Linked DNA regions of Tribolium castaneum. The protein of the gene in region 2 purifies or fractionates together with the protein of the main gene of each other region. This does not show direct contact. Links are inferred from orthologs where the notes say so. Each region holds a gene or a part of one and is shown on either strand. Other genes may lie near its edges.

Region 1 (7,706 bases), on a different chromosome or scaffold from region 2:
TTCTCCCTATTTGTTAATTTTTAGATAGTTCATTGCCTTACAATCGTCATATTACGATTGTGAGTGTCAAATTAATTTCCTTTTTTTGTGTTTAGCCACAAAGTATCACCAATCATTTACAAAGTAGTGCAGAAGAAACCATACAACGACCAAAACCAAAAGTTGTATTCAAATGTAGCGCCTTGTTGCTGGTACCGACACATTTCACCAGGTGCCACTAGAAATTTTCTTCGAATTGGACGGGTGGCAGCACAGACAGGCATTTGTAGCAAATTATTTTCCATTTTTTGCGTATTGTTCGTATTTTTGTGCAAAGTGCAGTGATAGAAATTGTGATTACGAGCCGATTCTCTCCTTAAATAAGCGGCAAACGCAAATAAAATGAAATAATGTTAATAACCTGTCCAAGGTATGTTTGTGGAGTTTGTACTTGTCAATCATTTACATGTACTTGATATCAACCGAATTATTTTTGTCTAGTCGCAGTTATTAGGCCCAAGAAACCAACAAAGGGTCATCTTATCGGGTTACCTCATTGATGGGAAGGTTAGTAACAACCTGAAGTAACCCACTCCTAACAACCAGAAACGCGTTGTCTCTAGGTGTTTTAGGTTTCCACCACAACAATGAGTGCACCATTGTTTGCCTGTTCTCGTTGTTTCTCCCGACATCCGTTCGAGGAGTTGTCCGCGGGACAACAACTGTGTAAAGTAAGTCAGTTTGGAGGGTCAAGTCATTTGATTGTGGGCATTTTCCCCCTTTAGGAGTGTCGAGGGGCATTTCCTGTCGTGAAGTGCACCTACTGCCGCTCGGAATTCCAACAGACTTCCAAGGGAAGCACTAGCACAATTTGTAAAAAGTGTGAACAGAACGTTAAGGCATATGGAAAGCCCACCGCTTGCGAATACTGCAATATTATCGCTGCTTTCATAGGAAATAAGTGTCAAAGATGTACTAACTCCGAGATTAAGTATGGACCCCCAGTCAACTGCGAACAGTGCAAGCAGAAGTGCGCGTTCGACCGCCACGACGACGATAAAAAGGTATATTTTCGAATTGAAAAAATTCAGATTAAACTGGGTATTGTGTTTCCTAGGTCGACGGAAAGCTTCTGTGTTGGCTGTGCACGTTATCTTTCAAGCGAGCGCTAGCCAAAACAAAGCAAGGCGACGCCGAAAGGCGAGCCCACATGAAAATATCACAATTACACAAATCCAAGCACAAGGAGGGAAAGTAAGCCTTCGAGTTGCAAATTCGCGAAATAAATTTTTCCCCCAGATTACGCGGTCACAACAAGCGGCCGCATCGCGTCGACGTAACAAAGCTCCCAGCACTGGACAACGACAACGGCATACCCACGAAGGTGTCGCGCAACAACGCTAGCCCCGGCTTGATTCGGGCCGAACTTGACCCCAACAGTTCCGACCACGTGGTCGCAATGACTCAGTTGAAGGAAAAAATCGCCACGTTGCAAAAACAGCTCAGTTTGAAAGATACTCAGTTACTGAATAAAGATAAAATGGTTTGGGGTCGTATTTTGTGGGGGCTTGTTTCTGTAGTGTGATTTTAGATAACCGAACTGAAGGCGAAGCACTTCACTACGGAATCCGAACTGAGAACCAAGATGAAAAATTGCCAGAAGGAATGCGACGACAAGATTGAGGCGCTGAATAAGCGCATCACCAGTCTCTTGAAGGAGGTGGCGAGTTTGTCGAAAAGCGCCAAGAAAAATAAGTTTGTTAGCGCTTCAGCGGCCGAAAATTCGAACAACAGTGGCAGTGGCACCGACAGTCCCAGCCTTCAGTAAACGGTTTTTTAAATAACTGTTCGTAAAAATGTATAGTGCGGTTTAACGATTCGGGGTCGGCTGATAGTCAATTTTATTCTTCGGTTATTTATTACGGAAATTTTAATATTTTATGGGTCGGTGACAGTAAACGGCCCTTATTGGCTAATGTAAATTCAAACGCCCCTTTGGAATCGCACTATATATCCGTTTGTGCACACACATACATATTTAATTTACGTCTGTTATTATGTATATGTCGACCATGTGAGTCTTAATTAATTGAATAAACTAGTTTTATTAAAATCTGGTGGTAGGTTTCTCAGCCAAACAACAGTCTTATATAATAAATGATTTATTTACGTTATGCAAATTATTGCCGAAAGAACATAACAAAATGTTAGAAAAACACAAAAGTTACGAAAGTGGTAAATTCGCAGTCCTTGAAGCCATTTGGATGTAATACTGACTTGTTCCTAAAAGCCTTTACATAAGAAGAAGTAATGATCTCGAGTGTCGTTTGAGCTTCAATAAATGGAAGAAGTTATATACCATACAATTGTTTTTAATATTTAAACTGTTAACAAAAAAAAAATAAAATAAATATATAATTTTGTCCTTAACTAGTATAAAAATTGTAGTATTCCAATCGGGTTGAATTACTGATTACAAAATAACACACTTTTTACGTTTAATTGGTTCTGGTGGTTCCAACGCGGCTAGAATAGCTTCATCGAAAACATTTTTCAGACCTTTTTGCGTTAAAGCCGAACACTCGACATATTTGACCGCTTTTAATTCTTTAGCTAACTTTTCTCCCTGTTCCACTGATATCGGCTTCTGTTTGTTTTTCGCCAACTTTTCAATCGTAGCACCATCATCGCGTAAATCGACCTGCGTTCCGACTAACAGGAACGGCGTCTTCTGACAATGATGAGTTATTTCGGGGACCCACTGAAAGCAAAGCGAGCATTTCTTAACATCGTTGGAAAAACTAACGAGCATCAGTGCTCCAATACTTCCCAGTTTATTAATTAAAAAAATAACTTCAAAAACATATATTTAACTAATGATACGATGATAATTTAAATAGCAAAATGAGAATCGTGGAAAAAACGTGTGAGAAAAAAGCCATTTAAACTTATCTTTGTGGTTGTTAGAGGAAGTGGTTCTCCAGTTAACAAAACGAGATTGTTTCATCAAATTTTGTTTACAATTTACTTTACCTTTTTCTCGGGTGTCTATGCACTCGCATACGCTCGTTGGATAACGACCTATAGTTATATGGTAGCACACATTTTTTAAAATAGCCCAGGGCTTTACAAAAATTGCCTTAAAACTTGTCTTAACAAACTTGTTTTTTTATATTCTATTTGTTCACTACTGTTCGCTTGTTTTTATTTATTTAGTTATGATTTATACAGTGATATGTTTGTCATACTTTAGATTGAAAGTACGGATATTTTTCCGGTTTATTTAAGTTCTAAAAAGCACGTGCTTTAGAACCGGCTCTGGCAGAAACACGTGGGACTTCGATTGAGTTACAAGAGGCTCATACTCAAGTGACTTACTTTTTCCTTAACATTTTCAAACGAGGACGGACTCACTACAGAAAAGCACACTAAGAAAACGTCAGTCTGGGGATAACTAAGAGGTCGCAATCGATCGTAATCTTCTTGTCCTGCAGTATCGAACAGCCCCAATGTGTAGGGCTCGCCCCCTATCATGACAGTGACCGCATAGTTATCAAAGACTGTGGGCACATATTCCGATGGGAATTTGTTAGTAGTGTAACTGAAACAAACCATTACCACCTCAAACAGACCAAACAGGAGCTGTTACCTTATCAGGAGGCAGGTTTTACCCACTGCGCCGTCACCCACCACCACACATTTAATTGTTTGCATTCTTCGTCCTTGCTGTAACAACAATTAATTATTAGGACACGGAACACTTCCGAGAATTGACAATGGCGTTCCTTCGCTCTCCACGAGGCTAGGAACGGTTTTAAGTCACGAGCGGCGTTCAAAAAGCAGCAAATTAACACAAACGCCCGAATTGTTCCAGGAATAAGGATATCAATCATAATGATCTGCCATTTTGAGTTGTTGGCGTCATTTTTTCAACCAGTTGATACCACTAAGCTATTTTAACGCTAGTAAAAACGAGATTAGGGGGATTACCTATTCAGCTTGAACGTCCTATAAATGTACAATAAACCTTTATTTTTATATTCCTAGAATTTTTGGGTTGGGCTTATCCTAAAACACCACAAATCACACCAACTGACGAATGACCATAGAGTGCGCACAAGTCAACTGTCACGTTAAAAACTGGGAAAAATTAATACGGGGCGGAAAAGGACTTCCCGAACCCGAATTTTTGAACTAGTTTAATAAACGGAAAAATTGTCGATGATTACGAGAGGATTCTATTTAATTTTGATAAAAGTTGTCTCATTGAGAGCGCCACCATCGATTTAGGTTAGTTCAATTGGGATTTTATCGCGGTGTGGTTGGAGGAACTGTCCTTTTTTTGAATTTAATTTATGGAAAAAAACATCTTACAAAACATGTTTAATGAATAGTAATATACAAATAAATATTTCTTGTGTCAAAGCATTCGAAAACAATTAATACTATTTAGATCATTTTTACATATCATATGTCTAACTTTAGGACTCCTTGTCTTCGTATTCCGTAACACACAGGAAGAGTTTGGCGCAGCCGTTGTTAAACTCGTTGAAAATTTTATTCAACCAATCTGGTTTATTCTTCCAAGCGATCGTAACTAAATAAACAGGAATTCCGCAAAAAATGAAACCTAAACCTACCCCTACCTCCAGGGGACTAACATAACAGGGAAAAATGACAAGGAAGCCACAAATTAACAAAAATATTACAGGAAGAATAAAACTGATTTTAATCGGCCGGTGCATATCGGGCCTCTTCCACCTCATATACAGCAGCCCCGTCACACTTATCGTGATAAAAAGGGCCTCAACGAACGAAACGTAGTTAATAAGAACGTACACATCTTCAATCATTACAAGGGCTAGCGTAATGATGCACTGTAAATACAATTAATGTAAAATTAGTGTTTTATTACGGAATTATGGTTACCATAAAAATTAGAGATGGTACAGGGGTCAGTCTTTTCACATCAATGAGTGCGATAGCTCGTGGCAAGTGTCCAGCACGAGCCCCCACGAAGAAAAGGCGTGACGATGCAAAAATAGCACCGTTTAACGAACCAAACGTGGAACAAGCCACGAAAAACGGAATGAAAAACGAAAACGCGCCCAGTAACTTATCACCAAAAGTAACAGCAACTGCATCTGACGCCAGAATATCATCCCTGCTCAAGACAACAAAGTACGCAAGGTTTGTCACAACGTAAATGACGGTGACCACTGGCATCGATATACAAATTGCGCGAGGAAGGTTCCTGGAACAAAAACAATGATAATAAACATAGCTGTGTTAGGGATAATAAAACCCACTTGTAGGGATCTTTCAGTTCTTCGGTAACATAGTTGAGGTAATTCCAGCCCGAGTAGGAGAACAGGCCGGAATAAAAGGCCAAGGCAATGTACCCGGGCTGCCAGTTGGTCCCTTCCATGGGGTCCCTGAAATGCTCGACGTGACCAATGCATAAGTAGTACGCTCCAGCTGCCACGATAATGCACAGGGCGAAGATTTTGGTGGCGGTGAAGATGTCTTGGACCCGTGTCACCCACTTGACGTTGTAGCAATTAATCAGAGTTAGTAGACAAACGGCAGCGGCTGCCAGTAATCGCACGGCTTCGTACGGAGGGTTACAGGCGCCCCAAAGCGGTTGGAGGATGTACTGGGCGAAGGTTATGGCCGTGATGGCGTTTCCGGTCGGGACCAGGATGAAAAGGGCCACCCAGAGGTAGAGGAAGGCGGGCAACGGCCCGAAAGCCTCGCTGATGTAGGCGTAGTCGCCCCCCGATTTCGGTATCATTGTGCCTAGAATTTGAGAAAAATAAAATGTAATTATAGTGCCGAATAAATTTTGAAGGTCAATTTGTGTCTTTTTACAATCAAATAAGAAAAGAACTACTTGTCTAACAAAGAGATGTGGTTTACTCAAAGACGATTATTCTATTGTTGGGATTGCTATTTGAATCGACACAATCACCACAGTGGTTCCTAGAACCCTCTAATAGAAAAAATTAAAAGGAACGCATCTGAATCAAAATTATTCTCAAGGGCAGTTTTTTAAATTTTTTCTTAGTGATCGTAACCATTCCACGCCAAAGACCTTGGCGGTGTGATGAGTTGATGACACTTGTCAGTGCTTTATTAGTTTATTACAACCAAACACACAAACACGAAATTGTTCACAAAGCGTTATTTTTCGATAACAGCTAATTCAAGAAATATTGATGAGAATTGTTGTGGAATAAGTGGCCGTTACACCAATTTTAATTTTCCTTCCATAAAAAATAATATGCTTACGCAAATAAAACGCAAATGTTATTTAATTGTAACGGCTTGTACCTTTTTTATTTTTCATGGTAATGAAAATTAAGTGCATCGAACTGCTATGCATAATTGTGTTGTTGATATCACCTTATCGTTAAAGAGATATCTAAACACATGGTGTACATATTACCTATACGATATACAAATCGTTTTTACGGTCTCTACACGTTTACATTGCAATTTTTAAGCCGAGATATAGCGCGAAAATTACTCCCACGGTGTGATTTCCACACTTACAGTGGGTTTAAATGTCTTTCAAATAAAATAAATTATTTCGCCCAACATTTCTTATTATTAAATAAAAAATCGAGAATAAATTGGTTTGAGGTGGGTTAACGACAAATAAGTTAAATTATTGCTCGTATCAGAGAGATAAGTGTAGGTAAACAACAAACGAAAAGTTTTGAGCCATAATTTTTGAGAACAAGTGATGTAATAACGATTTACAAAATACTCCAGTTTGGTATATTATTGTAGGAGACTTAGAATAAAGAAAAAACGAATTTTACAATTTTATATTCATTAGAATAGTGTTTATCAGCTTTGTAGCGGCATGAGGAACTACGAACTAAAGTCTTATCTAGAAAATTACGGTAATGAGACACTATACAGTAATTTATACACAAATGAAGATTACAGAATTACGCGCATGTAGTCCATTGAATTATTCTATAAATAGGTGAATCATCAGTCATTAGATAAGTGTAAATAAACAAAAGAAAAGAACAATAACGTTATCATGTTTTTGTGGTATTAAGAGCATTCAGGAAAATATTTTCCTTAAAAACTCCGAAAAAATCTTGCTGGGAAAAATTTTGATTTACGATTTATTTGTTGTAAAAATCTAAAATGGAACTGTTCCTTTCAACATTTAAAACAGAAATGAAGCATTTTTGGTATTGGTATGTCTGAATTATTTTTTCAGCCTTATTCTCCTCATTATTATTCTGACTACTGTTTAGGAAAAAAATATTTATAAATTAAAAAAAAAATATTTGGCTGCTAAAAGTAAATTTTTTTCTATATCTCACAAACTCATTTACTTACAAAAAACAATTTAAAAGTTAATGCTAGCATTCACTTAAATATAAGAGATAAAAATAAAGACCTATTATTAAAAAAGCATTTGTACCTTTGAACCTGTTTTAAATTATGAAAATAGTCAAAATACAACCACAGAGAATTCGAAAAATGATGGTTATTTGTGTTTCTAAACGGAAGTAAATTGAGCAAAGACACTTCCCATATCCTGATGAATGATGATACTGTTTTAGTTAACGAAACACGTGGTGACATTTTTCATGTTTATTTGATTTTCTTTATTTTTTTTTACCTTCTTTTTTCTCTTCATTATTATTTTCCCTCTCGTTTACTGAATAAAGCGTACGTTTTTAATGAACTTCATTTTT
Region 2 (7,390 bases):
TCTAATTCCCCATCGAATAGTATAAAAAGTGGTATAAAAGTAAACAGGCGTTGTCTTTATTTAACATGAACCTAGTAATAAAGTCATCAAAAAAGGACTGTTTCTACTTTTTATTAATTTTTAAAACTAGAGGTGTTACGTATGAAACCGATTTTTTTTGGTTTTTATTTTTTGTTTTGAAAAAAATACTTAAGGGACTTAGCTAGAAGAAAAAACTTAGTTATTTCAAAACTATAAAAACGCCAACGTCGCAATTAACCAAATTATTTTCTTTAATAAAATTGATGAAATTGTAAAATAGTTATTAACGGTTAGATCTCTGATTGAAAGTGTAAATTACATTAGATATTATTTTTTTGAAGTGCATGAATGATTTATAACAGCTAATTTAGAGAGAAAATGCAACGTGTTTTTATAGTTTGGAAACAGCTAATAACAAGCTAAGAAGCTATTAAAAATATTTATTATTTTGACATAATACTTTTTTGGGACACTCTGTACAATCGAGTATTTTTCTAAAATACGTCTCAGAGTATAAATAATGTCTACAAAATATTAGAAATACAACTTTACTAATAACAGTAATAACTGAGCTACAGAAGATGAGAGCTGTGCTGGACCATCCTGTATACACTTACAGTATTTGGTAATCCGAAGGCAATCATTGCAATTTATTAATGACGGGCTTTTTTGTAACTTATAAAGATATCATCGAAATAATAACGATTTTTGTTATAGAGGCAATTTTGTATCTGATTAACATTATTGATCGAATAATAACGAGGACGTTATTGCTTCAATCGCTAAAATAACGTTAGGCTTTCAATGCACAGATAACATAACGATTTGTCACCATCTATCGCAGAACTTTAAAAATTTGCCATCAAGTCCAACACTCTTGCAGTTATATCACAATAAAAAATGAAATAAAAAACGATAAGATGTTTTATTTAAAAAAAAAATCAGAAGTCTCAATCACATTGTTTAATAATAATAATAATAATAACAATAATAATAATAATAAATTTTTATATGTACTAATGTTATATAGAGTGTCTCAGCTAAAACTTTCGAGCTTAATATTTCAGTTATTTGTTAACGGATTGTTATAAAATTTAGAATGCACATATTTTAGGAGGTGGTCTTTCAATTAGGGGCAAAAAATGACTTCAAGTTAAAAAATGAAATTTTAAAACACATTTCTTTTATTTAAAATTAAGCCAAATTACCGTTGGATCATTAAAACCCGAAAAATAAATGTCCACACAAAAAATTAACCAAATCGCTCGCCTGATCCAAGAAAAAAATTAAATTTTGTTGTTGAAAACTTAATCCAAATTTTGATAGTAATTTGGACAGTCACCTTTTGAAACAATTTATGAAGCATTTCTATGCGGCATTTTGTGTACCACTGAAAAAAACTATCAAAAGTATGCGCTGTCAGAAAAGTAAAATTGTTTTAATTTGGTGAAATTATTTTAAAAACCAACAACAGTGGCTGAAATTTCTGTGTTGTTGAAAAAGGAATCAATGTTCGCTATGGAAAGTGTCGTTGGACTTTTTGTGAAATGTTATGTATGAAATTTAAAGTTCAAAGAATCGTCAATAATTTGAAGACACAAGAAGCGTACTTAAACTAGAGTCCTCGAGTGAGGACAAAACACGTCACTGGAAACGAAGCAATAGTTGGGGCTGTAACTCAAGCTTTTAAAGAGAATACAATCAGCAGTGTACGAAACATTTCCAAAGTCCTGAATGTTCAAGTGTCTAGAATTTTTCAGTTGTTGTTCAGTCTTTTAGTTCTTTTTGAAAGAATTAAAGCATCCAGTACCAAAAGTAAGTCAAAAATATTGTTTTTTAACTTTGTATGGGCGAGAGGTAATTGTGAAATGTCCCTTGCGTGACAGTTACGTTTCTGCGAGTAGGATTGACCAAAATTCAATGGTAGTGCTCATTTGTCTCATAGAGATCTACGATTTTGCATCTGTACCCACGTTTAACAGTTTGTTTCTCATTTTTCTCGCGTAACAGACGTCTTCCACGAACGAGTTTTTTCTGACAGGATTTTTCACTGACGATAATTTTTTTAATATAAGTCTTAAAAGGCTTAACATTTTAAAAAGGCATGTAAAAATTACGTTTTTAAGACTCGAGTTGTTGCATTAATTTGATTTTAATATTTATCTTCTAAAATATCTGTATTTTAAATTTCATAAAAATCCGTTGACAAATATCTGAGATATCAGGATCGAAAGTCTTAGGTAAGACACCTTGTATATGCTGTTTCAAAACTATAATTTAAAAACGTCAACGTCGCATTATTTTCTTTAACAAGATTGATGAAATTGTAAAATAGTTGTTAACGGTTAGATCTCTGATTGAAAGTGCAAATTACATTAGATATTATTTTTTTGATGTGAATGAATAATTTATAATAGCTAATTTTGAGAGAAAATGCGACGTTGGCGTTTTTATAGTTTTGAAACAGCTAATACACTACTATTACTGGGAAGTATAGTACATCTGCTGAAAATTCGCGTTCTTCTTCTGAACACATCACTTCTATCTAATTCAGGAACTCCTGACAGCCCTGAGACAATTATTATCCCAGTAAGTTGAAGAAGTCTGATAGATGTTCTAACATAGCGATTTTCGTTTAAATAACAATGTTAAAATAACTATCTAAGCAAAATAATTCGATTCAGGTCAGCTCAATGAGTGCAGCCACAGACTGGATAAGCTCCAAGGCGAATTGAAGAGGTATCAGAGTTATCTGGATGATGCTATCAAGGGAATCCAATCGGGTCAGAATAACTCTTTGACGAATTCGCCTCGATTGGTGAATGGGTCGAGACATCACCGAAATTCGGGAGGAAGTGCTGCCGAAGAGGAATCACTCAGCAGGTCTGCAAGTGACAGTAGCGTCACTAACCCTACTATCAATCATAATAAGCAGTCCGCACCGGGCACGCCTCAGCTTAATCATGGGTGGGTGTTGGTTAATAATCTGTATATAAGATAATATGCTTCAGCTTTTCTGCATTTATTTTACGAAATTAAACCCAGAAATTTTTAAATCTTGGCAAATTCACGTTGTATTGCGCAAAATTTGCAAGTTATATTCGAGCTACAAATAATGCGTCCGAGGCTAAGCCGAGGGATGCACTACTTTACAATATGTAACACGCAACTTTTGTTATTGCTTTTGCTTTTTTTTACGAGAACTTGTTTATAATGCAACTTTGCAATGATAAATCGATCAAATCTGTGATATTTGATTTTCCTTTTGTAGCAAGAACTTTGGTTGTTGTTAAAAGTAAAAAGTGTTGCTCCTGCAATGAAAATAAATGTTTGTTTCACAATATTTGCAAAACAAAGTATCTTAATATCTACGACTTATTTTTCTATAAATATATCTTGATGATGAAAAATGATAATAGAATTGCACACAATGAAATGTTTATTCCAAGCATGTCATATACAATTTCACGTCATTTTGTATATATTTTAACGAGAACTTCACTTTAGGAAATTAACAAAAAAAATCGCTCAATCAGTTACGATAATTAAGCCATTAGAACTCAAAATGGGGCCTATTTCATGTTTGTTATTTGTTATAAGACAAATCTTGTTAAGATGATTTTTTTTTATTAATATATAGATTTGATGAGTAACTTGCATTGTACTATTATTAATTTGTCTCATGGTGCTTGATTTAATGTAAATAGTGTTGAATTTTTTGGGTTCTTACAGTTTTAACTAACTTCTTCATAATCAATTCTGTCTGTTTATCTTCACTAAGGCTGAAAATACACTAGAAAATATTAACTTGTGAAAAAAAAAACTTCTATGACATTTTTAAAAAATAACAATAACAAGTAATAAAATTGCATAGAAATTTCCCATACATGTTTGCTTTTAAATTTAACTGCGTAACACTATGTGTATGGGATAAAATAATAAAGCATTTTTTATGCTAAGTTTTTACTTGTTTAGCGAATTTTATTTTAATGTGTTACTCTTAAAGTAATTTTCATTTCAATTTTAGATATTTGTAACTGACTTTTAATATGTTGAAAACTCAAGTCTTTAATTTTTTTCATTTTGTATTTTTTAAACGAAATATATGAATATTTTTACTAAAGCTGTTAGAAAACTATGATATTTTATCATGCGATTACATAATAACTATTATTATTCAAATATTAGTTGTAACTTAGATGAATAAATGCATTTTAATAATAATAACTAATAGCTCAAATTTTTTAATTTTAAAAATTATTTATTTGATGCATATGTGTAAATAATTGCTTATTTTGTTCTTTGCTGTGTTTTCTGTCATTGATTAAAATTTTCTGTGGAAATAGTCAAAATGAGCTCACCATTGAGCAATGATTTAATTATTATCTTGCAGATTTTTCCAAAATTGCTACTAGTCATTGTAAAAGATTTTTCTCTAAACCAATAATTTATAACAGCTAATTTTAAGAAAAAATGCGACGTTGGCGTTTTTGTAGTTTCGAAACAACTAATATCTTATTCTAGTTGTTGTTCCTAAACAACAATTGTAAATATGCGACGCGTTGAAAAAATCTTAGAAAAAATCTCAGTTCAAATTTCTTAGAAGGAGACCCTCTCAGGAATTTGTATTCTTTATTTTCTAATCTCTAATCGCCTATGTTACTGCTAATAATTTAGGAATGTATGAAAGGTTTCTTAAACCCTTCAAGATAACGTGATAATTATCTTCTGAAAAGCCGATTTTATATCTGGAATGGGATCCACTTTCTACAGGGTGCTCAAAAACTGGCGCACCAACTCAGTGGTACGTTGTTGAGAAGCATGTGTAGATCACGGGAAAAATCTTGAAAAAATTCCTAGTCATATTTTAAAGAATCTGGAGCTACAAACTTATTTTATTAACTTCTTCAGTTTTCATTATTTTTTAATGCTTTTATGTTTCACACTAAGCAATCGTTCCCTAACACAACGATGAATAACTATTTTTAAATTTCCCATCAGACTTTGGCAGTTTTTTTAATTTAAAAAAATTAAAATTCATCCAAAAAATCAGAATGTGTAGATGTGCCAACACTGGGAATTATTTCCTAGGAAACCGTTTCAAAAATAATTTATTTTTATTGTTGCTCAAATTCTATTGCGATTATGACTGTTAGACAACGTGCCACATATTTAAATTTCGTTATTTGTGAATAACTTTAATGCAAAGAATTTTTTTACTATTTTTACCTTTATATGTAAGCAATTCTTTACCACACTCCATTGAGTTGGTGCGCCGGTTTTTGAGCACCCGGTATATTATTCGTTTACAAAATTTAACTTTTCGACTGTTGCCGAAAATTTAAAATGTTGATTCTACACACTATTGGAACTTAATTTTCAAATCTGACATCCAAATTTAACTCAGCCCGAGTTTGAGAAGCGATTTTACAAAGATAACAAACACTTTCGTTTGCTTTTTGGTGGAATAACTAAGACTGAATAAATGATACAAAAATTGCATTTCGGTTTGGAACAGGTTGAAAATACGAGTATACTCTTGGACTTTCTTGGATTTCAAAAACTCAAAAAAAAAAATCTGAAGCAACAGTTTCATTGTGAATTAGTGTTTACTGATGTTTTTTCTTTAATATCAAAATTATTAAAAACTATCTTAATTTATTATTATGTAATACTAATCTAATATTGTTCAGTAATCGAACAAATCCCCCTGAAAATGTGAAAGTATTTGTTTGCATTTTTGTAACTGAAGTTATCAGCCCCTTTTTATAAAGTCACAGCACTAAATATTTTCAGGATTTCATGTCTCAGAATAGCTAGCTACCTGGCGTTATAAATCAACATCGGCCATCTGATGTTGTTGTAATGTTGGTTGCATAGTTACAATTTCTTTTTTATGTAAATATGCAAAAAATACTTGATTTATAAATATAGTGGCTCAGAGGCGGAGTGAAGTTTTACAATGGTCAAATAATGAGATCACTCCTGACTAAATATTGTCAACCATTTTTGAGGAAAAGTGTTATAAAGTTTTAAAGAAATTAAGCGTTTTTCATTAAAATTAATCACTTTATGGAACAATTACTACCATAGCGGATTAAAGAATGTCGTTCTTTATATGCTACAGAGCAGATAATTTTTTCAAAGAGTAAAATACACTTATGACGTTTTAAATATTTGTAATTTGTGTACACGTTGGTGAGTAAAATAATACACAAAACCGTTTTTTTTACAATTGGATGATGTTCCTAGGTTTACTTATTACCTCACAGATCAGTTCTTATCTTGATTTAAAAAGTTCAAGTAGTATGAAAAAATATAGTATTACATGTAAGTCATATACAAGACCTATACAAAAAAATATTAAAAAACGTAGTATCATTTTTTAATGAAAAAATAAAATGGCTATGGTTTTTTCCTTTAATTTTTAAATGACACTAAAAAATTTTTTCAAATTTATGTATATTGTTGCTCAGGTCCGCAGAAAGTCACCATATTTTTCTCAAGCAATTTGAACTTACAGTTTTTTTAATAGAACAACAAATTAAATCGACTTTTTAACCTTTTTAAAGTTTTTAAACTCGGTTACAAATACTTAAAATGAATTACAAACTGACCTGTGAGATAGTGACTGAATTTAGGAACAACATATAATTGTAAAGAAAACATTTTGTTTAACACTTTTCTTAAAAATCCAATTTCAAATTTTACGTTCACGCGCTTGCTTGAACAGCTCGCTCCTCTTCGGAAGTTCTGAGTATAGTTCAACCTTAACTGTGTTTTAAAACATACCGTAATTCGTTACCGAATTGTTTTTTTTAATAAGATTGATAAAATTATATAATAGTTATCAATGATTAGATCTTTCATTGAAACTATAAATTCCATTAGCTATTTTTTTGAATAACTTATAATAGCAAATTTTGAGAGAATATGCGACGTTGCTTTTTTTATACCGGGTGCTCAAAAACCGGCTCACCAACTCAATGGTGTGTGGTAGAGAATTACTTACATACAAAGTTAAAAATAGTGAAAAAATTCTATGTATTAAAATTATTGATAAATAACGAATTGTAAATAAATGATATTTGGCAACGTTGTCTAACAGTCATGATCGCAATAGAATTTGATCAACAATTCGGAAATAAAATTAACTAGGCGCCCTCTGGTGATGACTTTTGAACTATGTCGAAAACAGTAAAGAAATTTTCGTAATGCCACATTTAACTGACATTTAATGAATTGTTCAACAATTTTGCGTGTATAGTGTTAATTACTTACAATAGAAAGAATTACTTTAAAAGTACGTGGTGGTAAATACTAGCGTTGACTTTGGTTCTGTAGTTTTTCGTGGTATAAAGTGTTTATT

Evidence for each region.
Region 1: the proteins of Cip4 (region 2) and cdc42 homolog purify together in Drosophila melanogaster (affinity purification with western blotting; 4 studies listed by BioGRID). This does not show direct contact. The link is inferred for Tribolium castaneum from reciprocal best matches to the Drosophila melanogaster genes Cip4 and Cdc42.

What each region holds. Positions count from the first base shown.
Region 1 is NC_087398.1:3,191,541-3,199,246, reverse strand, and holds cdc42 homolog, read right to left. Parts: upstream 4,262-7,706; 5' UTR 3,970-4,261; intron 3,706-3,969; 5' UTR 3,694-3,705; coding exon 3,629-3,693; intron 3,581-3,628; coding exon 3,358-3,580; intron 2,741-3,357; coding exon 2,453-2,740; 3' UTR 2,126-2,452; downstream 1-2,125. Other genes in the region: protein FAM76A, read left to right, coding at 627-710, 765-1,043, 1,097-1,233, 1,279-1,522, 1,571-1,807; mnd (Y+L amino acid transporter 2), read right to left, coding at 4,461-4,856, 4,909-5,233, 5,289-5,778. UniProt on the Drosophila melanogaster protein: Regulates mbt kinase activity and is also required to recruit mbt to adherens junctions. Together with mbt and Frl, regulates photoreceptor cell morphogenesis. Together with Frl, has a role in the neuronal development of mushroom bodies.
Region 2 is NC_087400.1:8,760,102-8,767,491, forward strand, and holds part of Cip4 (cdc42-interacting protein 4 homolog), read left to right. Parts: intron 1-2,705; coding exon 2,706-2,988; intron 2,989-7,390.